Linked DNA regions of Mus musculus: all the other regions are reported to be linked to region 2. The links are microRNA targets in miRTarBase. Many come from high-throughput screens and were not tested one by one. Region 2 holds a microRNA gene; each other region holds the end of a gene's coding sequence. Distances are between the middles of the regions.
The links. Region 2 holds the annotated microRNA mmu-miR-664-3p (UAUUCAUUUACUCCCCAGCCUA, at 1,800-1,821, shown strand). A microRNA usually pairs through its seed, bases 2 to 8, with sites in the 3' UTR of a target mRNA and lowers its output. Matches are read on the target gene's strand: a 7mer-m8 pairs with bases 2 to 8, a 7mer-A1 pairs with bases 2 to 7 and ends in A, and an 8mer does both.

Region 1: the mRNA of Rgs4 is a reported target of mmu-miR-664-3p. Seed matches in the 3' UTR shown: 7mer-A1 at 869-875 and 7mer-m8 at 1,926-1,932.
Region 3: miRTarBase lists Cyp19a1 as a target of mmu-miR-664-3p. Seed matches in the 3' UTR shown: 7mer-A1 at 775-781.
Region 4: miRTarBase lists Sycp2 as a target of mmu-miR-664-3p. Seed matches in the 3' UTR shown: 7mer-m8 at 3,505-3,511.
Region 5: the mRNA of Wdr59 is a reported target of mmu-miR-664-3p. Seed matches in the 3' UTR shown: 7mer-A1 at 1,548-1,554.
Region 6: miRTarBase lists Scoc as a target of mmu-miR-664-3p. Seed matches in the 3' UTR shown: 7mer-A1 at 1,786-1,792.

What each region holds. Positions count from the first base shown.
Region 1 is chr1:169,739,960-169,744,049 of GRCm38, reverse strand. Rgs4 (regulator of G-protein signaling 4) reads left to right here. Exons shown (of 5, transcript NM_009062.3): 5 at 130-2,573. The coding sequence ends at 369. Among named protein-coding and RNA genes, the nearest start is that of Rgs4, 5.6 kb to the left of the region's middle.
Region 2 is chr1:185,241,213-185,245,302 of GRCm38, forward strand. It overlaps Mir664 (microRNA 664), which reads left to right and starts at 1,763; the gene lies at 1,763-1,831. The region is part of intron 9 of Rab3gap2 (RAB3 GTPase activating protein subunit 2); the gene reads left to right. It overlaps Snora36b (small nucleolar RNA, H/ACA box 36B), which reads left to right and starts at 1,714; the gene lies at 1,714-1,826. Gm34882 (a long non-coding RNA gene) reads right to left here. Exons shown (of 3, transcript XR_373795.3): 3 at 2,497-3,125.
Region 3 is chr9:54,162,929-54,167,012 of GRCm38, reverse strand. It overlaps Cyp19a1 (cytochrome P450, family 19, subfamily a, polypeptide 1), which reads left to right. Exons shown (of 9, transcript NM_007810.4): 9 at 8-1,076. The coding sequence ends at 256. Among named protein-coding and RNA genes, the nearest start is that of Cyp19a1, 29 kb to the left of the region's middle.
Region 4 is chr2:178,342,807-178,346,896 of GRCm38, forward strand. Sycp2 (synaptonemal complex protein 2) reads right to left here. Exons shown (of 44, transcript NM_177191.3): 44 at 2,489-3,601. The coding sequence ends at 3,527. Among named protein-coding and RNA genes, the nearest start is that of Sycp2, 63 kb to the right of the region's middle.
Region 5 is chr8:111,447,504-111,451,593 of GRCm38, reverse strand. Wdr59 (WD repeat domain 59) reads left to right here. Exons shown (of 26, transcript NM_001170742.1): 26 at 515-2,810. The coding sequence ends at 750. Among named protein-coding and RNA genes, the nearest start is that of Gm24793, 31 kb to the right of the region's middle.
Region 6 is chr8:83,432,607-83,436,696 of GRCm38, reverse strand. Scoc (short coiled-coil protein) reads left to right here. Exons shown (of 4, transcript NM_019708.4): 4 at 657-2,205. The coding sequence ends at 799. Among named protein-coding and RNA genes, the nearest start is that of Scoc, 8.0 kb to the left of the region's middle.

The DNA of each region.
Region 1 (4,090 bases), 16 Mb from region 2:
GTCCCGGGTTTCATTCCGGGGAGAAATGTAAAGAAAGGGTCCCAGCCACTCCTTGTTCATTCCAAGCCTGCAGCCTCCTCTCTTCAACAGGGCACTAGATCTAATGCAACCTTGGTCTTTGCACTTCAGGTGAACCTGGACTCTTGCACCAGAGAGGAGACAAGCCGGAACATGTTACAGCCCACAATAACCTGTTTTGATGAAGCCCAGAAGAAGATTTTCAACCTGATGGAAAAGGATTCCTACCGCCGCTTCCTCAAGTCTCGATTCTATCTTGACCTGACCAATCCTTCCAGCTGCGGGGCAGAGAAGCAGAAAGGAGCCAAGAGTTCTGCAGACTGCACTTCCCTGGTCTCCCAGTGTGCCTAATTCTCACACAGAGGCAGGGAGCCCAAATGCCAAGACTCTATGCTCTGAAAAACCTGAGGCCAAATATTGATCTTAAGCACCAATGCTTTATCCACATTGTAGCCTAGTGTCCATGCTGCCTGCCGCGTGTGAGTCACTTCCATGTAAAACTAGCCTTAGTTGTGGTGTTGGGGTTTTCACTAGGGTAAGACCCAATTTGTTTTAAATTTTCCCAAGTCTCCTTAAGGGTGAGCAAGTTTCCAAATAATGGCTCCGTAGGTCTGGATTTTCAAAGATGGCTGGCAGTCTGCCCCTTTCAACAGTTTGACCTCAAGTTAGTTAGTTGGTACACTTCATGTGACATTCCATGCACATGTAATGTTGGCCAGCAGCACTTCCTACGGACTCTCAATGTTTAGGTGATATTTGTGTATGCATATGTATACATTAAAATATACATAACATATGCATATACATTCTGTATATATTATACCTATGTATTCAATGTGTGTGAATGTGCATGAATATGTATCTATCTATCTATATATGTATATACTGACACATGCACACACATTTCTTTAAGAAAAGATGGGAAAGATCCTAGGTGCTCAAACTGGAGTGTGTAGACATGCTTGCATGCATGTTCTGATTTCTGGTCCTTCATACCGTGTCTGAACAGGGCAAACTGAATTAACTGCCATGCAGGCTAAGAAAGGAACAGTAACTTGTGGGGAATGAGTTCTATAGAACCACTGGGTCTTGGCGGAGAATAGCCAGGGCCTTTGTGTTTAGTTGTTGATGGCCTCCACATTGAGCACTAAGCTAAGGGGTGAGCACTCTGAAAACTCTGCTGTCTGACTGACACTGAACTGCCTTGCATCAGTGATCACTACTGGCACTTTTTAAGTCCCTCTGCTGATGGCCTTCCCTCCTTTGCCTGGGTGCTCAGGGTGTGCTGATTAGCAGCTGGGTTGGTCTAGAGCTGAATGTTTGAGCTGAATGAAGGAATGTGGTCCAGGCTTTGCTGCCTAGCCCTACCAAGGACTACTGCTTAGGTGAGGGCAGAGGACCTAAAGATTATCTTAATTCTTTCCTCTTTTGATAAGGTGCTCTTCTTTTCCTTCCCCTCAAGAATGTCACCTGTCAGAGGAGCCTCCTTAGTTCCCTGTGGTTGGTTGTTCACTTTAAAAACCACGGCTACCTGCCGTGGTTCTAAGCTACATGCCTACATCTGTAAAGCATCATCGGGGGGAAAGGTTATGTTTTATCAGGAGGAAGGAAGTTCTCATGAACTGCAAAGCCCTCTTTGGTTTTCTGCTTTGAGGTAAGAGCTTGTTCACCCCATCCCAAACACCAAGGCTAGCAGAGACCAATGAAAGGAGAGAGGAAAGGAAAAAGAAAGAGAAAAGAAAACAGAAGAGGAGAGGCTATCAGTTGGTAGGACTACTGCTTGGAGCTTTTCAAGGCACGTGAAATACTTGAAAATTTCTCATTTGTGTTATTTATGATGTTTTGTACAGTGTTTTTATTATTGTATTGTTTTATAAATGGAGGTACAGGATATTACCCAAATTATTAATGAATGCCCAAGAAGTAATTTCCTTCTCATTCTTCTAAAAGTACTGCCTTTGAGAGCACACACACATTCGTGCAACACTGCAGTCATTGCTCCAGTTTAAATTACATGTGTGAGCACCATTGTGGCTAGTAAGCCAATGTACCGGGCTGCAAAATGAAGACACTGGAATAGTGTGTATCCAAGTCTCGTCGTATTGAAGAAATAATTTTCTAAGGGTACTCGTTTCGTCTCTCTTGACAGTCTTGCTTGTAATGTCCCCAGAGCTCCCCCATCAGTGTTCCTAACTCCTTTTTGTTATACACCCCATCCATGATCATGTCTGTATAACTCTTTGGTCTTGCCCTAATAGTATCATGACTTTGAGATTGTACCTGTACTCACAGACTGCTGTTTCACAAATAGGTCTGGAAAGTCATTCTGAATGAGAAGTAAATTATTTTGTGTAATACATCCTGAGTGTGTTTTCAATTGTATTTCCATCGCTCCTTGGAATGGTGAGCCTGCCTGCCGCTGGTCCATGTAAGGAATGCTCCTCCCATATGCATGTCTGCTTCTGCCATGTGCTTTATAGGCCTCAACACTGATGCTTCCGACGAAACACACAAATCTTAATGATGACAGTAAATAAATGCTTCCTACAAAACAATCTGCTTGGAAACACATTAATGATCCAGCGAGGCATGCTGGAAGAAACAGCGGGGCATAGAGTGCCTTTAGAAAATGACTCACACAGAGACTTGTATCCCTCCCCTGCCAACTCCAGGAAGGAAAGCAGAAGCCGTATCATTTAGACTTTGGCCCCTTTTGCTGATCTTCTTGCTTCTGCTCACAAGCCCTGGGCTGTTCTAGGTTTGAAGAGTAGGCAGATCTAGTGGTCTACAGGTCTTCAATTGGGGTTGGGGGAAGAAAATTCCACAAAACAAAACAAGAAAACAAAAACCAACAGAACAAAATACCACCACCAAAAATCTAAAAAAACATCAAAATAAAACAAAGGAAACAAAACCAACAAATGGGGTTTCACTCAGTCTGTAGTCCACTGGGTTGTAACTTAATTGTGAAGACTAGTTTGAGCTCAAATTCATGGCAATCCTCCTGTCTCATCTTCCCAAGTCTTAGGGTGACAGGCACAGCTTTTCTTTTCCATATGATTTTAAGGGTAGGGCCTCCCTTCTGAGCAGCTGTCTACTTTCAATTACCTGCCAGAGTGCGAAAGGTTGTGGAGAAGCTGAGGAAACTGAAGGTACCTAGAGGTGTCTAGGTGTTGGGAACAAAATAAAATCCAGGGGGGGAGGGGGTGCCGGGGAGAAGTGGGATAGGAAAAAGATGCCCAACGCCCTGTCAGAGTTTCCCTATTCTCTGGTCAGTCAGGCATGGGAAGGCTGCTACCTACCCTATCCACTCATCCCTGGGTGGGCATTCCTCTATCCCACTCTTCAGGGGGTGGCCAAGGGGCAGCCCTGCCTGGGGACCCCCCCAAGCTACTTTGCTAAAGCCACCAGGGTTGTGGGAGAGAGGGAATGGGGGAAGAAGTTCCCAACACTAACCAGAGTGTGCAGCGGAACTTGAAGGAGCAGAGACACTCTATGGTTTAAGAGCTTTATTATAGAAATGCAAGGGAAAGAGAGAAGAGGGAGGGAGGGAAGGCTAGAGAGAAAGAGGGAGGAGAGAGGAGAGGAGAAGACAAAGAGAAAGGGAAGATGAGAGAGAAGTGAGAGAAGAGAGAGGTGAGAGGACAAAGGAATAAGAGAGCGAGGTACAGGCTGAGCACCCCTTTTTATGGTCGTCACTGTTGCTAGGTAACTGAGGAGGAGTTTAGCCTGAAGGTCAGAAGCTTGGGCCATTGCTTAAGTAACTACTGACCATGCTTCTCTTGTGGGGGCTGTGGGAGGTGGTACCTTAGGCAGGGGCCGGAGTTCCAGGAGCATGAGGGAATGCCTACCATGTCATGTAGGTGAATTATGACCATGGGGGTTCAGACCTCGGATCGACTGGAGACCAGCCTGCAATTCCGCACATCTGGGAGAGAGCTTTCTGTCGCAGCTGTTCAGTGTCATCTTAGCACTTTGAGAATTTCTTTCTTTCTTTCTTTCTTTCTTTCTTTCTTTCTTTCTTTCTTTCTTTCTTTCTTTCTTTCTTTCTTTCTTCCTTCCTTCCTTCCTT
Region 2 (4,090 bases):
ACTCACTTGCTCGTTCTCACTCTCACTCTCTCTCTCTCCCTCTCTCACACTCACTCACATATTATATATTAAATATAATTATATATATTATATAAAGGAAAGAAAGAAAAGAAAAAACCTAAAGCAGAAACACTGGGGTGCAAAGTCCTGGCTTGTCCAGAGTGTGTGGCTAGTTGAAAGATCCACAGAAGAGTAGAGCACTGTGGTAGGCTCCAAGGGGGAAGACAAAGGCCCCGCACTGAGCAACTTGACTGAATCTGACAGGAAAAGAACAAGCTCTATAGCCAACACACACACTGGCCTGAAGTGAGTGCCAGGGGAGCTGGTGACACAGCCAGGGACCTAACCTTGAAGGCCTCATGCACTTACACAGGAATGGGCTATCTCAGCCGAGTCAAGAACCGCTGACTTCTCAGCAATAGTGCCCTCACATTGCCCGTTAGAAGAAAACCACTCTGAAGACAGCTTAGAGACTGGAAATGGTCTCTGTTAGTCTTATGGTCACTATTAGGAGAAGATGGATATGTTTGTGCATGCTTATAATTCCAGCTCTTGTAGGAATACAGCAAGTTCAAGGCCAGAATGAGAAATGGGGCCATACTCCACCTTAAGTTTTAAACAAAGAATGAAAGAAAACACTAATAAGGAGACTGTACTAATCTTAGTGAGAAGTAATGGGCTTCTGAATTAAGGTGGAAAAGTGAAAATAGAAAGAGATATACTATTTTAAAATATCTTCCATTGTTGTAATATATGTTAAGAATTTGACCAATGGCTGGGCACTAGTGTTACATGAACGCCTGTTATCCCGGCACTTGGGAGGCAGGAGGCAGAGAGAGGCAGAGGCAGGTGGATCTCTATAAGTTAGAAGCCAGCCTGGTCTACAAGTGAGTTCCAGGACAGCCAAGGCTACACAGAGAAACCCTGTCTCAAAAAACAAAATAAAACAAACAAACAAATAGAACAGCGTATAAATACATAGAAAAAAAGAACAACAGAAACTTTCCTTCTATCCAGAGGTCCTCATCATTGGTGTTTAGCTCCTGGTTTGTGCATAAGTGCATAAGTTATATGCATATTGTCATGTGGGAAGGCAGGTTCTTATAAATAGTTCTATAATACCAACTCCTTTCACATCAGGGTTACTAAGGGGACATTTGTCAGCCTCTGTCCTAGCGGAGGACAGAAGACAGAGGGTGCTTGGAAGGCTTGTTTACAGAGATGCTGCTATCCGGACTTGCTATTGTGTAAGCCCCAGCAGTGTCCATACACTAGACTTCTTAACAGCCAGGCTGTTAGCCACAGCCAAGCCTGAAGAGTTACAGGCCGGGGGCCATCTTCACACTCACAAATCGTGCCTGGGAGCAAGATGAGTCTTCCTCAGGGTACAGCCAGCTCTCGGGGAAGGAGCCCTTTCTCTCTCTGGTCTCCTGATGGAACTCCTGTTGTCTGAATTCAGGCAGAAGTCAGCAGGAACTGTCCAAAGCCTGCTCTAGGGAAGGCAGGAGTTATGTGGAGGGCTGGCTGGCAGAAGGTGTCTGGCACTCAGGCCTGCTGATTCTGTCTGCATAGTCCTGGATACCGTTCTTGTGTGGAATACTCTATGTATTGTATATGTAATGTGTGGGATGCTCTATTGGTAAACACTTCCGTGTGTCTTCAGTTTTCTGCTAAGAGAAATGTCAACATATGATTTCCAAAGTGTTGAGTTCAGCCCAGGGTCCCCTCCCTGCTCTGCTAATTAGACTTTGGAACATTGAAGCTGGCTGGGGAAAATGACTGGATAGAAAACATTATTCTATTCATTTACTCCCCAGCCTACACATGAAAGCAATAACAGCACAATAACTTTATCTACATCTTTACATAAAGGTCTTAATTAACTCATTCAGTACATAAATAGCTATTATTTAGGGAATAGTGCTGGTGCTGGAAACACAACAGCCCGGACGCCGCCCTGAGAAAGCTTCTATTCCGATGATAGAGATAAATAGGAACTAAATGAGTAGGTGGTGCTGCCAGAACGCCAGTAGGCAGCATGGAGGAAGCCAGCAGAGAGTTTAACTGAGCATAAATTCTAACGTGGAGTGGAACAGCCCTTTCACAGGGGTCACATAGCGGCTATCTCACACATCAGATATTTGCATTGCAATTCATAACAGTAGCAAAAAGACAGTTATGAAGTAGCAACGAAAGTAATTGTACAATTGTGACATGAGGAGCTGTATGAAAGGATCATAGTGTTCGGGCGGTTGAGAACTGCTGCTCTGGTGTAGAGGACGTGAAGACATGGATGCTGAGGACAGGCCTCTCCAGAGAACCCAGCCAGCCAGCCAGCCGTGGGAAGCTTTGTAGTCAGAGCATCCTCAGCAGAAGCCAAACTGTCAGCCTGGGGACCCCAAGGACCTCAGAGGACTTGGAAACAAGGGCGGTCAGTGTGGCTGACAGGGTGGGAGGAGAAGGAAGCCAGCTCAGACATGACAGAAGGGTCAGACGTGAAGATAAGGAAGGTGCATTTTATTCTGAACTTGGTTTCTGAGAAAGCCAGGCCTATGTAGAGAGGCCCTGTCTCAAACAAATAGACAAGACCAAGAAACACCCCTGGGGTGCTGCTTAGAAAGAGGTGTGGAAAAGGAATCAAAGCAGCAGCAACATAGCTCAGGCATGTGAGAGTATGGACTTAGAGCGGATGCAGCAATCTGACGTTTGTCATACAGTCGCTCAGGTCAGTTTGAGAAGTGAGAAAAGGGACACAAGGACTCACTCCCCTCTTCCCCTAAGTGACAGAATCACACGTGGCACCTGCTCCCTGAAAGGAGAATAAAGAAGATCCTTAGGGGGCCAATCTCGCAGAGCACAAGTTGGGTTTTGCATGTTGACTTCCGGCACATTCCAGTAGAGCATCAGTGGGCAGACAGGTGGTCTGAGGCTCGGAGGCAGTGGGATGACTGCACACACAGTTGTCTTGGGCGGGTACTGTCAAGCAGCAGCATTCAAGAGAGGGTGCTTCTCTGGACCTGGCAGCCTGGAGCTCCTTACTGACTTATAATGAGCAGTTGGGGGAGACAGGTGAGCACAGGAGCCAGGCTGGGGTGGGTTTGTCTCACAGTAAATGTTTCCATGGCCTGTTTTCAAAAGTTACAAATAACAAGAGATAAAATCACAGTGTGTCTACTCTTCATCCCCAGACAGTCCTGGTCAGATCTTTGAGCTGCACATTCTTTTTTTTTTTAATTTATTTTTTTACACTCCATACTTTAGTCCCCTCTCTCCATCCACCCTCTGACTGTTCCACATCCCATACCTCCTCCCCACCCCCCTGTCTCCATGTGGATGTCCCCACCTCCCACCCCACCTGACTTTTAAACTCCTTGGGGCCTCCAGTCTCTTGAGAGTTAGGTGCATCATCTCTGAATGAACACAGACCCGGAAGTCCTCTACTGTATGTGTGTTGGGGGCCTCACATCAGCTGGTGGTGTATGCTGTCTGTTTGGTGGTCCAGTGTTTGAGAGATCTCGGGGGTCCAGATTAATTGAGACTGCTGGTCCTCCTACAGGATCCGCCCTTCTCAGCTTCTTTCAGCCTTCCCTAATTCAACCACAGGGGTCAGCTGCTTCTGTCCATTGGTTGGGTACAAATACCTGCATCTGACTCTTTCAGCTGTTTGTTGGGTCTTTTGGAGGGCAGTCATAGGTCCCTTTTTGTGAGCACTCAGTAATTGTGTCAGGCCTTGGGACCTCCCCTTGAACTGTATTCTACTTTGGGCCTGCCACTGGACCTTCTTTTCCTCAGGCTCCTTTCCATTTCCATCCCTGTAATTCTTTCAGACAGGAACAATTATGGGTCAGAGTTCTGACTGTGGGATGGCAACCCCATCCCTCACTTGATGATGCCCTGTCTTCCTGCTGGAGGTGGGCTGTGTAAGTCCCCTCTCCCTGCTGTCTGGCATTGCATCAACCTCCTATTTCCCAGGATTGTCTGTTTCCATTCTTTCTGCTGGCCCTCGGGGCTTCAGTCCTTTTTCCTCACCCAGTACCAGATCAGGTTCCCCTCTCCCTCACACTCCCTACCTCTCCTCCATCCACTTTCC
Region 3 (4,084 bases), not on the chromosome of region 2:
TTCATAGGTTCCCTACAGGTACTTTCAGCCTTTTGGCTTTGGGCCCCGCGGCTGTGCTGGGAAGTACATCGCCATGGTGATGATGAAAGTTGTCTTGGTTACACTTTTGAGACGATTCCAGGTGAAGACACTGCAAAAAAGGTGTATTGAAAACATACCGAAAAAGAATGACCTGTCCTTGCACCCAAATGAGGACAGGCACCTTGTGGAAATAATTTTCTCTCCAAGGAATTCAGACAAGTACCTCCAACAGTGAAGAAGTGTGGCCTATCTACTCTGGGGCATTACTTATCCGTAATTACATGGAAACCATCCATTTTATCGAGTAGGTGGCGTGAACCTCACCATGAACATTTGATGGTCTGTAGAATTTTATGATCATAGCTCCTATGGTTTGTCATCAAGCTGGGCATCCATCCAGGGAGCCAGGATGCAAAAGAAAGGAGTCTGTGTTGGGGACCAGTGAAGAAACTGAAGCCTTAAAGGACCAATCCTACAATATATACCTTGGGAAAGACAGACCATCAGTAAAACACGTCTGGTCTCCTGCTAGAGTTCTACAGCTGTTGTCAGCACATCGAAATGACTCTGGCAGAAGTACTTAAGTTATTAGAAAGGCCAGGTCAACATCCCAGCATGTGGGCCAGGCATAAATGAACAACAGGACTTTCATATGTGTGTGTGTGTGTGTGTGTGTGTGTGTGCGCGCGCGCGTGCGCGCCCACAAGCATGTGCCATGTACGTATGCAAGTCTGTGTGTGTACTTGTGCATGCATGAATACATAGTGTGTGTGTGTGTGTGTGTGTGTGTGTGTGTGTGTGGTAGACTCTTTCTACATTAAACCCAGTTGCTTACGGTGGATCCACATGTAAACTGTTTGGGGGCAAAAGTGAAATATAGGGTGTCGTTTCTTACTCTCAATTTGTGCTCCCAGGAGTGTAGTTAGACTGTAGTAGGTATAGATTCAGGTAAAACATGCCTAAGTAGTATTAGCCTGAGTAAAATATAGCTAGGACTCTATGTGTGGTGTAGGGGGAAAAATCACATGGTGCATTTCAAATAAAGAAGTCTTTTTAAAAAAAAACTTTGCATTGTTGCTTAGTTCCTTTAGTTCCATGGAAGGAAATGCAGCAGGCCAGGGGGCCCCAACTTCTAAAGAACCATCTCTTCCTTTGACACACCTTCTCATTCCTCTCTCCCTCTCTCTCTCTCTCTCCCTCTCTCTCTCTCTCTCTCTCTCTTGTCATGACCCCATTCTTTCAAAAAATAAGGGTCAAACCTTCACAAATCATTTTTTTCATCCTACCTCAGATTTAAGTGTTACCCCAGAGGCTTACACACATGACATGTTTCCATCGAGTGGACAGCCATCATGTCCCATGCGAACATTCTTTTTGTTTAGCAACAAGGCAACACTTGAGTGTAAAACATGTGTAGGTGTTTTGTTATTTTATCTTTTCTCCATTCCCAATCTAACTTTCCTTATCCACTGTAGTCTCCCCTCCCCCAGCCTGAAACCTGCTTGCTCAGGGGTGGAGCTTTCTGCTCATTTGTTCTGCCACGCCCACTGCTGGAACCTGCGGAGCCACACACGTGCACCTTTCTACTGGACCAGAGATTATTCGGCGGGAATCGGGTCCCCTCCCCCTTCCTTCATAACTAGTGTCGCAACAATAAAATTTGAGCCTTGATCAGAATAACTGTCTTGGCTACATTCCTTTCTCTCGCCACCTAGCCCCTCTTCTCTTCCAGGTTTCCAAAATGCCTTTCCAGGCTAGAACCCAGGTTGTGGTCTGCTGGCCGGACACAACAATCCACTGTCAAGATCAGCTTGGCATAGGCACACTTGCTCATGGATAGCCTAAAAATTCAAGTATGAACATTGTCAGGAAGGACATATTTGGGCTTGAATTTATATGATTTAAAGGGAGCTAATATATAATTATCCACCCAAATCTGTCTGTTTCCAGGTCTAGATAACCATCCAGATTTGGCTCCAATGATCAAGGTGAAGGTTAGCATATTATGATAATCCACTCGCTAATCCTCAGTGCACTACTTTATCTTTCCCTGTGGAGCTGCATGACTGAGGAGAGCTCTTATCAGTGTTCTTCACTCACCGATTCTCCTGAAGTGTCTACTTTTATTTCACATGTAAATATGCACTGAAGGCATATATTTTATGCTGAAGTAGAAGTTGGAAGAGTTGTATCTAGATGATATGGACACAAAAATATGTTGAGGAAAAAAACAAACAGAAGTTGGAGGCAGAAACACGGAGAGGACAGAAAGAGAAGAGAAGATTGAGGGAGCATCTCCCATTATCAAATATTTGGTTAACTGTTGAACCTAGCATCTTCAGACAAACACCATATGTTCCCATGACTGAGGAATCTGTCTGTTGGCTTTCCAGTAGGCTGATGGACACATGTTTGAAAACCCTAAGTGCTCATTAATTAACAAAGGTGCCACAGATTCTATTTTTGTCAGCTTCCAAAAAGGTAGATTGTGTGTTGCCAGTAAAATACATGCACGTAAGCTTTACCACAATCAAGTCGTGAGAACGATTACCCCTCTCCTCTCAACTGTGTTGATCACCTTCCCCAGGCTTTAATGGGGATGCTGTTTCTCTTTCCAACTGGAAAATAGTGAGGTTCAGAACTCTTCTCATATTGGGAAATGACCATTGGAACTTGCCATTTTGTATTTCTAAGTATCACGTTTCACTATGTGAGTATGTGGTGTTGACCATCTCCAAATAATACTACCTGGACTCTCTTTTGTATCTTGTATCAGTTCTGGGGCTGACCTCTGACTTAGATTTTCAGAAAGATTTGCTAAACTGAACTTGGTAATGAATTGGAATACATGATATTTTCAGTTAGGTACTCAACTTAATTTAGGAAGTTATTATCTCCATTTTATTATTTTATGAAGCATCCCTTCACATCCCCATTTGTTTGTTTGCTACCCACTGGCCAGTGTTTCCCTCTTTTATGCACATATAACCCATCACATGTGGGTAACCTTCAGATTGTTAGTAAAACCTAGGTTTTTAAACTGAACCTGTCACTTGAAGAAGTGATCCAGTTGGGACTGGAACCCATGACTTCTGAACTTTATTCCAATTCATTAAAAAATGACCTTTAAGCCAGGTAGTGGTGGCACACACCTTTAATCCCAGCACTTGGGAGGCAGAGGCAGGAGGATTTCTGAGTTCGAGGCCAGCCTGATGTATAGAGTGAGTTCCAGGACAGCCAGGGCTATACAGAGAAACCCTGTCTCGAAAAACCAAAACCAAAACCAAAACCAAAACCAAAACCAAAACCAAAACCAAAACCAAAACCAAAACCAGCCAAAACACAAACACAAAAATCAAGAAATAACAACAAACAAAAACAAAGAACCCAAACAAACACACACAAATGGCCTTTATCTCCCCCATCTTCTATCGTGATTCTGCAGAGCATAACATTTTCAGGACAGTGGTCAGTCTCCCAGAGCCTATTCTAAGGCATTATTATTTGTCAGAGCAGAGGTTCCAACTTGGAGTGTAGGCAATACGCCACTCCCTAAAAAAACACAAAGGGCAGGGTAGCTCTGTCAGCTCTCCCAGCCTCACCTTCCTCTGAGGATGTGCTTCCAAGCTTGGAGAACAGCAGTTCTCAAATCAGTCAGCAGGGGCAGACACAGCACAGGTTTGTGAGCTTTGAAGTTTGGCAGCTTCCAACAGAGGGAGTATAGCCTTCCCAAGCTTCTGGCAGCCTCTCACTATGTAGTGTGCCAGACGGTATGGTTGGTACTATTGTCTGGTAGTCCGAAATACCCTTCAATATCCATTTATTTTGGATTCCCAAGAGGCTGACTCCAGCCGTTCACCCGAGTTTAGCTCAGAAGCAGTCCAGTGAGGACTGTGACACAGAAAGTTACTCTCCGTGGTTTGCTTTCTACATCTGAACATAGCTGAAACATAGTGTCCACCTGCTGGAGCTGTGACACACTGGAAACTACCTGCTGGCTAGTGACTATTCAAAACATATGATCCAGGGATAATAGTAACTTATTAATTTAGCCTTAAAAATA
Region 4 (4,090 bases), not on the chromosome of region 2:
TTTTTACAACTTAGTAATAAACTGCTTTTATAATCCAAAGTCCCAAAGTCCACATTCCTTCAAAAAAAGTACCATGTGGCCTATCATAGCAATACTCCACTCCTATTGCTGTCAAAAGACACTATGACTATATATTATATGTATATATAATAAAAGTAAATATATAAGTGAATATATTATATATATATAATATACATTTACTTTTATTTCATGTGCATTGGTGTTTTACCTGAATATTTACCTATGTGAGGATGTTGGATCCTCTGGAACTGGAGTTACAGTTATGAGCTGCCATGTTGGTGCTGGGAATTGAACCTGGGTCCTCTGGAAGTACCACCAGTACTCTTAAAATAGTGAGCCATCTCTCCAGCTCCCAACCCATGACCACTCTTATAAAACATTTAACTGGGCTAGCTTACAGTTCAGAGGTTTAGTCCATTGCCATCATGTTGGGAAGCATGGCAGCATGGAGCTGAGTGTTCTACATATGGAGTGGCAGGCATCAGAAGGATTGTTAGTCACTGGGCCTGGCTTGTGCTTCTGAAACCTTGAAGCCCACCCTAGGAATACATTTCCACCATCAGGGCCACGTGTCTTAATTCATTTAAATAATGCCAATCCTGAGTGTATGAAGGTCATTTTCATTCAAACTACCATATGAGCGGAGAGAAAAATTTTCTGGTCCAGTCTATTTGGTATTTTGTATACTTTTTGTACCTTGATAGATATCTCCTTTAAGTTAAGGACAATGTCTATGATTTTGTTGAAAATATTTTCTGTACTTTTGACATGGGATTCTTTTTCTATCCCTATCAAATTATAGATTTGGTCTTTATAGTATCACAGATTTCCTAGCTGTTTTGTGCTGGAGATTTTTTAGATTTAACATTTTCTTTGATCAAGGTATTGCTCTCTTCTACTTTGTCTTCAATGCCTGATGTTCTCTCCCCCATCTCTCATATTCCATTGGCGAGACTTGTCTGTGAGGTTCCTATCTGAGTCCCTAAATTTTTCATCTCCTGATTTCCCTCAGTTTGGGTTTTCTTTATTCTCATTTGTAAGTCCTAAACTGCTTTACTCATTTTCTTCCACTGCTTGCTTGTGTTTTCATAGATTTCCTTAAGGAATTTATTCATTTCCTCTTTAAAGACCTCTGTATTCACAAGGCTGTCTTAAGAGCTTTTCTATTGCTCGGCTATGTTGCATTTCTCAAGGCTTGCTCTAGTGGGGTTGCTGGGCTCTAGTAAAGACGTTGACCTGTTACTGTGTTTATGTTACTAAGTATCTGGGTTTGGGAGGATTGTAATTCTAGTTGTTGACATGTGGTCTTCTCCTTGTTGGGTGGGTATTTTGTTCTTTCATTCTGTTGCCCTCTCTGGTTCTTAAGGGAATATGGTAGCCCTGTGTTGCCTGGTAGGGAATTCTGGAATCCTGCCAGGTGTGGCCACTGGGGGGCTTCTACATAGAATATGTTTCTAGGTATTGGGAGCGGATTCTTAGGAATGGGGATAGATAGGTGGTCCCACCGGAGGAATGAAAGCAGGGTATTCTACTGGGATCTGCTTAGCATCTTGGGAATGGCAGAGAGCAAAGAGAGGTGAAGACAGGTGGTCTATAGAGCTGGGGGTGGCATTTGGTGATTGGATTTGGAGAAGAGGGAAAGGTGATGAAAGGTCTGCAGTTACCCTTATCTGCTTCTCTGGCTGGTGTGGCCGAGCCTGCAGGTTGCAGGGGATAAAGGGATGAATACGGGAAGGAACGTTGGAGAATATTTGCACAGTCTGTTGGAGATGGGGGCAGAAGGAAGGGGAGGCCATAGTAGACGGTTTGCTACAGATCTGCGGATGAGACTGGGGGATTAGATTTGGAGGAGAGGAGGAAGAGGTAAAGATCTGCAGGTAGTTTACCTGTTTCTCTGGCCAGCTCTGGTAGTTCTAAATGATTACATTAGAAATAATTATGTAAATACACACATTATATTTCTAAATTGCTTCTTGTCCCATAAATCCTAAAGCATATTACCACATGGACCTTGAATAGCAAGTTTCTAACTCCTGGTCTAAATTTAAAAATAAATGAATATGTTATATCTATTAAACATGAATGACAGAACAACTCATAAGTAAATTATCAAATCTATTTTGAGTTTCTATACTCAAAATCACAGCCAAAATAACTTGCCTGAGTTATAAAAACTGCACATAAAATTAGGTAAATAACAAAGACTATTGCTGTTAAAGGTGGTATTCCATTAGAGGGCAGCCCATTTCTCCAAGTTCCTTTTCAGTATAAATTTTTGGCATCACAGTATATATTAAGGTTCAAAAACAATGTAACCCTTGATCTCACTCAAAATTTCTGGCTAATGAAAAAGAACTAAATTATTTCATTCTAGAGATTATTTTAGAATACTCCCAAGAATAACCTTTACTTAATGTGTATAAAAATTTGAAAAAAAAATGAAACTAATGATTTTACAAATACATCATTTGAAGGACATTTGTTTGGGCCCATGGCTTTAATGTTTGCAGGCAGAACTGAATTTGAGGTTAGCCAGGTCTACACAGACCATGTCTCAAAAAACAAGAGTTACAAAATTAATCTTAGCAGTTCTTTGTTGTACACACAGTTCATCTAAGGGCTAATAAAATGTAAAATCTCTCTCTTTCTTAAAACTAGAAACTCCCATCATTTTCCTCATAAATCTTAAAATCTTAGCTGATGTCAATTGAATACACCAAGAATGTATTTGTGCTTGACTAAGAAACTACTTCACCACTGTAATATTAAATGCTGGTATTGCTCAAATACTCTACAGCCTTCAGATTGGTATTACCTTCAAGTGTCTGACTGAAGGTGGCTTGTAAGTCATGGTTCATAAAACACAATAATAGTAACTGTAAAGTAATTATACTTACTCAAATAAGCATTTATTTAAAATACAATCTAACAAAATATTAGGTGAATACCAGGTGCTTAGAAAGAAATGGCAAGCAGCCTGCTTTGTAGTTAAGACTTCTACACTGTGATAAAATATTTATGAAATAGCTATAACTTTAGGTCACTTTAACACTTTTAGTGCACTGTAACTCTATATATCTCAAAGTATGAAGGTACTAACAATTAAAGATCTTAAAGCAGAGCCTTTTCCTCTTTCAAAGAATTGCTAATATTTTAATACTTGTATATTTACAAACCATCATGCAAATTTCAGTATATTTTATTCCAAAACTGCATTAATTTAAAATTACACTTTATATATAAATACTTTAGTACAGACACTACTTTCACAGACATAGTTAATATAAAAATATGATCCAAGGAAAGTCAGCTCCTTTTACTGTTTGCTCATAGGACATACAAGCTGCATTTGGAGTCATGTTTTTCATCTCTAACATTTGAGTCGGGAGGTTCTTGCACACAAGAATAGAGGTGCTTAGATGATGCATCTTTGCAAAGCTACTTTATTAGTGCTTTATTTATACACAAAAAACTAATCATAAAATTCATTGACAGCAGCCAGATTTCATGCATCATTTCCTTCATGAGCCTTGAATAATGACTGTAGTCCTCTGCGTATGTTGAGAACTTCCTCTTCATGCTGTGACCAAGGGAAACGACAACCATTTACATAAAGATACATTCAATGCTAAGTCCACCCATTCCCTTAGGATTTACATGGAGGTATATAGAGGATTCTCCAATCATTAGCGATATTCATGATACTGGAGAAAAGACTTGCAATCTTCCAAAGATTATTCTAGAAAAAATTTTCAATGAGGACAAACTTAGGCAGCTTATTTGCTCAAGCTGTGCAAGCCTGGCTACAGCCTCACAACCTCTGCACACTTAGTACCACATGTCAGTAAAATCTCACAAGTATGTTAGTATTTTATGTAGGTAAGGATTATTATTATTATGTACTTAAAACTTTGAGAAAACCCCCAACCATACCTGTGTAAAGCACTGGCATGTGTCTCTCTGGAGAGCACTTCATCCTAGAATGTGGTCTACTTGACTTCTAAAAATCCAACTATGTTTGTTTATGTAAATCAATGAAGTGTCATTGCTAATTCGGGTAACAGTTTTC
Region 5 (4,090 bases), not on the chromosome of region 2:
TTTTTTTGAGACAGGGTTTCTCTGTATAGCCCTGGCTGTCCTGGAACTCACTTTGTAGACCAGGCTGGCCTCGAACTCAGAGATCTGCCTGCCTCTGCTTCCCAAGTGCTGGGATTAAAGCTGTGCCACCACGCCCGGCTGTTGTTTCTTTTTTTAATGTATATGAGTACACTGTTGCAGTTTCAGACACACCAGAAGAGGGCATGGGATCCCATTACAGATGGTTGCGAGCCACCGTGTGGTTGCTGGGAATTGAACTCAGGATTTCTGGAAGAGCAGTCAGTGCTCTTAACTGCTGAGCCATCTCCCCAGCCCCAGTAGATACGTTTTTGCGTTACGTGGTTGACCAGGGAGAAAGAAAATGCATGAGGATGAGAGAGAAGGAAGAAATGACTGATCTGCCAGAGCCTGACAGGGTCCTGAGAGGAGTCGGTATCCTTACCCAGCCAGACTCAGTCTGCTTTTATTAGAACTAATGTCTCCTCTTGCTTTGCCCCTGTCCACCCATTTGCAGAGTTTGGTGTGTACTGCAGTCACTGTCGGAGCGAGGTCCGTGGCACCCAGTGCGCCATCTGCAAAGGCTTCACCTTCCAGTGTGCCATCTGCCATGTGGCCGTGCGGGGTTCATCCAACTTCTGCCTGACCTGTGGGCATGGTGGCCACACGAGCCACATGATGGAGTGGTTTCGGACCCAGGAGGTATGTCCCACGGGGTGTGGCTGCCACTGCCTGCTGGAGAGCACCTTCTGAACTTAAAGGACAGTGGCACTTCCGGAAATCCCAGAGGACTCCATAAGTGCTGGAGAAGGCTCTCTGCTGCTGCTGGTGGAAAGTCCTAGAACCAGGGCCATCCTCGTGATTTAGGATGGAGAGTATCCTCTCACAGACTGTCACAGCATCCGCTCGTGATCCTGTGTGTTCCCTTCTCCTTGGCTGCCGGGCACGGATGGTGCTGGAAGAAGGGAGGGGGACGCACAGAGCTGACCCTCCTGTACTGTCTGTTGAGTCCACAGTGGATGTTTTCATGAGGAAAAGCACCTGTTTCCAGAGCCATCAGAGCTAGCATCAGCCTTCAAGATTCTGTCCTTGAACCAGGAATGGACCCTCCAGATGCCAGTACAAAGGCACACAGCAGCTGCAAAACAGACTCCTGAGCCAGAAGACGCTGGCTCTTAGTGCCATCCACAAGTGAGCTATGGTATCTGTGACTTAGAAGTTGGCACCTTGATGATGGCCTTATAAAATACAATACTAAAGTGTAATATATGATGGACATATATTCAGCATTCTTTTTCTTGGTACAGGGCTGGAACTCAGCGCCTTGCACATACTGGTGAGCAGCCATACCACTGAGTTACATTCCAGCCCCATAAGAAACTTAAGATGTATATGTTTTCTGTTTCTCTTCATCTGCTTTCCTTTAACTAATAGAAGTTTGTACTTGTGTGTGTGTGTGTGTGTGTGTGTGTGTGTGTGTGTGTGTGTGTGTGAGTGAGTGAGTGAGTGAGAGAGAGAGAGAGAGAGAGAGAGAGAGGGAGAGAGAGAGGATGAATAAGGAAAGTGACCGTCTTAGTGACTCATTTTGCATTGTACTTCTGGTTGAAGGGAACTGTTTTGGACCGGACTAGAATTAGTCTCATGACTTGTAAAGGAAATGCCATTTGACTTTGATCATCTGACAGAGGAAACGGAATCTGACATTAAGGTTCTCTCTAGCCGCAAGAGTCTCATAATTATTTCTTCTAGCACAGGGGAAATGAGATTGCATTTCAGCACTGATACCAGAGTCTCTCTCTGCCTCTGGGCAGGCTGGCTGGGCTCCAGGGGTACTTTTTACTTGAACTCCCTTGCAAACTCATCATGATTTTCAGGGGTTTCACTTGTCTATACCAGGGAAGAGAGTTTAAAAAAAAAAACAAGACCCACTATACTGAAATCTCTCTCTCTTAGAAATTTAAATTCCTTGGGCCTGTCATAAGGCTCAGTGGGCAGAGGTGCCTGCCACTAAGCTTACTAACCTCAGTTTTCTCCCTCGCATGAGCCACCATAGAAGAACTGACTCCTAAGAGTTGTCCTCTGACTTCCACATGTGTGCTTTGATATGTGAATGTACACACACACATACAAAAAATGTAATTTAACAATTTTATGATTCCAAACTAATTAACCGGAGACACATAAGTAATTTGTGTCATTGGATTATGGTTGCACGTGTTTGTAGTCCCTTCACTCACGGGGCTGAGGTAAGAGGGTTTCAAGTTTGAGACCATCCTGGGCTACACAGTGAGGTGATGGCCAGCCTCACTTATATATGAAGACACTTACAAGCAAACGTCATAAAGAAGATCTGGAGAGATCGCTTAGTAATCAAATGCTTGGCTAGCATACAGGAGGTGATGTGTTTGATCCTCAGCAACACACACACTGACACTCAAACTAAAACAAAACAAAATACTACATGTTCCATAATAGGTAAGTGTTGTATATCACTTTGTTTGAAACTATGATTTAAGACTCATGAATGGATTAGGAAATCAGTCTCGTAGATAAAAACCAACACTTTCTATTTTCAAGGATTACTTTGTGTGTGTAAATCTCTGTGTCTTCAAGTGTATGTTGTGTGGGACAGAAGAGGCCATCTGGTTCCTTGGTGCTAGGATTATCAGTCTTTTCAGGACACCTTGTGTCATGTGTGTTCAGGGATCCTAACTTGGATCTTCATGATTGCAAAGTCAGAACTGTTTTGTCTCCAGCCCCCAAACTGTCATATAAAGAAAGTAAAATAATGTGGGTGAGAGACAATCGTGTACTAACACAGTCTGATGTCCTTTGTTTACTAGTGCGTGCGCACACACACACACACACACACACACACACACACACACGTACTTATATCTCATGGTGGCAGGTGGGCCTCACCTCTCCCCTGTATTACTAATTGGTCATGAGACTCCGTGGCATAAGCTTGATCTTGAACTATGTGCCAGGTTTGGTACCAGTGCCTCAGCAGCACGTGTAGTCCGGTGTGCTGGGATGGGGGAGGAAGGGCCGCAGGTATCTGAGTGTATTACACTGTACTCCTCCAGCCTCGTTTGTGTCGACACTGCCGTGATGCTGGTCCCACAACAGGCGGACTGATGTGCACAGACACAGATCTGTTGGGTCCTCTGTGAGTTCACACCATTTACAGAGAGCGGTCTCTTCCTCTACCCCACCGTGAAGCTAATGGAAGCCCTGTCCCTGTTTAGAATGACATAGTTTTCTTGTGTGGATTATTTCTGTAAGAACATTGTCTTCCAAAACAAAAAAACCTTCTTAGTGACTATGAAGTCATTTCAAGTTTAACATGTTTCATAGGGGGCTGGAGAGATGGTTCAGTGATTAAGAGCACTGGCCGCTCTTCCAGATGCAAGTCCCAGTAACCATAAGCCAGGCCACAGACGTTTGTAACTCCCATTCCGGGGATCAGATGCCTTTCTCTGGCCTCTGTCAGCACCAGACATGCACATGCTATGTAGACATGCTGGCAAAACACTCTTTATGCATAAAATAAAAACAAGACACTATGTAACATCTCTCAATAGGTCAGTTCTGTTTGCATTTCCAAGTTACCAGGACAAAAACTTAGTATTTGTGAGAAATATCCCTGTTTGGAAACACAGTGGTCTGGATGCTGGTGGGGTCAGCAGCCTCTCTACCATAGCTAAGTCCTCTTGGTTTGGTTTACTGTGCTCGTCTGAGGTAGGGCACCGTTGTGTTTCCCAGCTGACCTTGAACTTGAGACCTCTGACTGCCAGAGTGCTGGGATTCCACCACACCTGGGCTTTATTTGCTCTTTAAAATATTATAACCTGTGTCCTAAACACCTTTGAATTTGCCAGGGAGAACACTAGGCATGGGCATGGTGGCACACGCCTCTAATCCGCATTTGGGAGGCAGAGGCAGGAGGATCTCTGAGTTTGAGGCCAGCCTGGTCTACAAAGCGAGTTCCAGGACAGCCAGGGCTGTTCTTACACAAAGAAGAAACCTATCCTGAAAAACCAAATCCAACCAAACAAACAAAAACTTTTTGCCATGGGAAAGCAGTGCT
Region 6 (4,090 bases), not on the chromosome of region 2:
CCCATGTTACTGAGTCACAGGTGCCCACATACAACCATGTTTTTCTCTGTTGCTTCTAGAATGGTGTCTGCTTCTGTTGGTCAATATACATTTGTTAAATATGTGAATGGACATAATTTTTTATTTGTCCATTAGAATCTATATCTCTTGAATTTTTAACTAATATAAAACTATAAAAAGATCAGCTGCTTGGATCTTTTATCCAACTTAGGAATCCAGTTGTGTTAAGCTCTGCATCTTAAACATTTCCAGTAAAGACATGACCATTATGTGTGGGAGGACAGGCATACTTTAGAAATGCAATGTTTTCTTAACCACCTCAAGAGTTAAAAGAAATGCTCTCTACAGACTCCCGAGTCCCATGGCAAACACTGTTAACAATCACCGTCTTCTGATTTGTACTCAGTACAAGGTTTTTTTTTAACCTAAGCCTTTCCCCCAATAACCTGAATTAAAAAAAAAAAAAAAAACAGAAAACTTACAAATTGTGATATTTATTTGTTGTTAGTGCTACGAATCAGATTCAGGGTATCACACATGCTAGGCAAGGGCTGTAGCACTGAGTCACCCCACAGCCTGGTCTGCATTTGTAACATGGAGTCATTGCCATGATTTTTATTGGTAATTGTATTTTTATTTATTTATTTTGAATACAGATCTTTCTGCAAGAGTAGATGCAGTTAAGGAAGAAAATCTGAAGCTAAAGTCGGAAAATCAAGTTCTCGGACAATATATAGAAAACCTCATGTCTGCTTCTAGTGTTTTTCAAACAACTGATACAAAAAGCAAAAGGAAGTAAAGGGCTCACCTCCCTCTCTTCTATGGATTGCTGCTTTTTTTCTTCCCCCTTAAGGCTTGGATATGATCCAAAAGTTAGAGTATCTTTGTTCTTCCCTGAGTATTTATAAAGAGAATGTCACATCTAGGTAACACTAATGCTGAACAGGAGCATCTCTGAGTTAACGCTATATGTATACGTTAGTCTATGAAAATGTGCACATGTAGAGACTTTATATTAGAATTACAGATATTTATGAAACTTGAAGATGAATGTTTTGCCAATTTGCTTATATATATATAGGTTTAGCACTGTCTTTTATCATAAGCCTAACTAGTAAAATATACAAAAAAATAACCATGTTGTGAAAAGTGACCAAAACCATGTACTGAATGCACAGCTTCTGTACCTTGTGCACCGTCTTGTGCCTCTCCCATCTCCCTCCCTGACGGTAACTTCAGCAGTTTCTCCTACAAGAGTAACCTAAACTAGAATTGTTGACACTTAACCAAAATAAGACACTTTCTTATCTAAGGCTTGCCGTTTGTGATATTTAGTAATAAGATAGGATTGCTGGTTTCTCTTTAATCAATCGAAAGTAGATTGAAGCTATAGAAAATGAAGAGTTTTCTTTGAAATGTAAACTGCCACACTGAGAAGCTAAAAACTCCCTATTGCATAAAATAGTTCATTTGGTGTTGAAAAGATAGGAATGCTGGTCATATGTGTGTGAGAAATTAAAAAACAACAAACAAACAAAAAACTTGAGAAAAGATAGGAATAAGAAGGAAAACTGGATTAACAGAAATAACCAGCTCGCAGTGTTTTCCCTCTAAATGTGTATTACCTCTGGCCCACAGCTGCACTTTGGGGACATATATGAAAGTGGACTGAGTCTAATGTAAGTGGATTAAGAGAGACTAGTTAAGAGTTTGGTCTCAAAGTTTATTTGTACCCAGGAAATGAACTTTTGCAAAATTAATTGAGAGTATATTAATATCAGAATCATGAATATAAGAGTTTTGTATATGTGATAATTATTAACCTCGGTATTTTATCTCAGTTGTTTTCCCAGAATTTCTGTAAACTCAACTACTTAGTTTGCAGAATTTTAGTCATTCTTTTAACAAATTTTAAAAATTTAGTTTGTAGCTTCCATTTGATAAGGAGCTGATATCAGAAATAATAGTGAAGTCTTATAATAGGAAAGATCCACTAATGCAGCTGGTGGCTCTTAGGCTGGGCTGCTTTGACTTGTGGAATTATCTAATGTATTAATGTAAGCCTTGATGAGTGACGTTAGCTATATGGATGTGTAATCCTCACATTGCAGACATTTTGCAACCCTTTTGTGACCTTGTTACAGATATTTAAAATTGTGTTCAAGTTCTGCTTTGCTGTTTAATAAAAAGCTGTTTCAGAGGTTTTGTGTGTGTGTGTGTTTTGATACACTTGCTAAGTACATGTGCATTGGGTATCCAGGGTTTGCAGTATCACATTGTAATAGTGTATCTTATTTAAGCACCCAAGACTGCTACAGGGCAGTCTTTAGTAGCACAGTGTTGCAGAAGCTTACCCTTTATTGAAGTTCTAGGGAAGGGGGCTGGCTTAGGGTTAGGCTCCTTCCCCTCACTTGTTCCCAGGCTAGAGGGCTCTGCTGCATAGATTGTTCTGTCATGGCTTCTGCATCATCAGTTACACTATTCATTCTATTTACAGGAAAGAGTTTGTGAGTGCCCAGAATCTAGGTATGAAGAGTTCTGTCTTGAAATGGTCCAGGCCTCTTTACATCCAAAGCCTCGGATTGGCTGAGCAGTGTGATTTCTTCCATGTGGGAGGAAGTGAAGGACTTGTCCTAGCAGTCCTAGCCACAGCTTGATCTCTTGCTACAAAGTCTCTGGAACTATGTTTCCTCACAGAGAAAGCATTCCAGCACCCCACCTCCGTGCCCCAATCCAGCTAAGGATTGAGCTTAAAATCCAAGATCTCCCTTGAGGTCCCTCAGTTTATCTGTTCTCACTTTTTCCCTGGTCTAGAGTATTATGGGACAGGATAGCCAAGTAGAAAGCTCTCAGTGTGCGATGTGGAGTAGAGACACTTAGATCTGAGGCAGTGGTGGAATGGAACTTGGACACAAGTCCCTGGATATAGACCCTGACTCTGACCAAGGCTTTCCTTTCTCACTAGCTTTTGTGGCTTTCCCCTTCAAAGTTATTCCATACCCACCCCACCTCCACCCCTAAGGTTGAGAAAACCGTCCAGTTGTTGGCAAGAGCTTGGTGCCCCTTATTTTAAGTCAAGCTCAAGGGTTTTGTTTTGTTTTGTTTTGGCTAGTATAGCGTTCTCAAACAAAAAAACTGAAGCCTTTTACCTAGTTTACATCTCTTCCATCTGTTTGCTATATGCACTGAGGTTAGAGGACAGCCTACAAGAGTCTGTCCTATTTCCCACCATGTGAGTTCTGGGGACCAAGCTCATGTAGTTGGACTGTACCCTAGCTTGAGCCATCTTGCTTTGAAACCTTTTATCTTTGTACTCTCAGTCTGTGTGTCAGGGACAGTCAAACTTTCTTCTAGCCCTGACTCAAGCTTTTTTTCTCTAGGACTTGACTCTGTAACAGAGGCAACTACCTTAGGGCCCACTGAAATGCAGGTGGGAGAGCTGGCCCTGGGGTCTGCAGAGCTGGAGAGCTAGCCCTGCCCCTCACCAGTTGCAACACTTTGGTAGAGTGGGCTCTGCGCCTCACCTGGGCAGCATAATAAAGCTGTTCCTGCTGGAGTGGTTGTGGGTGAGCTGACCCCCAGGGGCATGAGAGCAGAAGAGCTGGCTCTGCCCCTTGCTGATTGGCATTGGGTAAGCCAGGGCAATGCTGGAGAACTTGCCTGGTAGTTTGGGTGCTGGAGAGCTGGAGGTCTGACCAGCTCAGCTACAACCCAGGCCCAAATCTAGAGCTTTAAGTTGGCCCACCCCAACATCCACATCATCTCTGGGCTTCTGGAGCTCTTTAAAGGACTGGTCCTGCAGACCCAAAGCTGTGGGATCTCAGTGACACAGGTAAAAAAGCAGATCTGAGAGGAGTCCTAGGATCCAGTATTGATAGTCCTGGCCTCAAACCAGACCAAGGACTCATTGCAATGAGCATTTGCAAGTAACGGAGTGTGAACAAAAGGGCATACTGTGGGACACAGTCTCACATACTATAGCTTCCATAACAATTTGGAGGGCAGGTATGAAGGGATGGGGAGATGAGTAGGATTGGGGTACAAAATGTGACATTCACAAAGAATAAAAAAGTTAAAAATATGAAAAAAT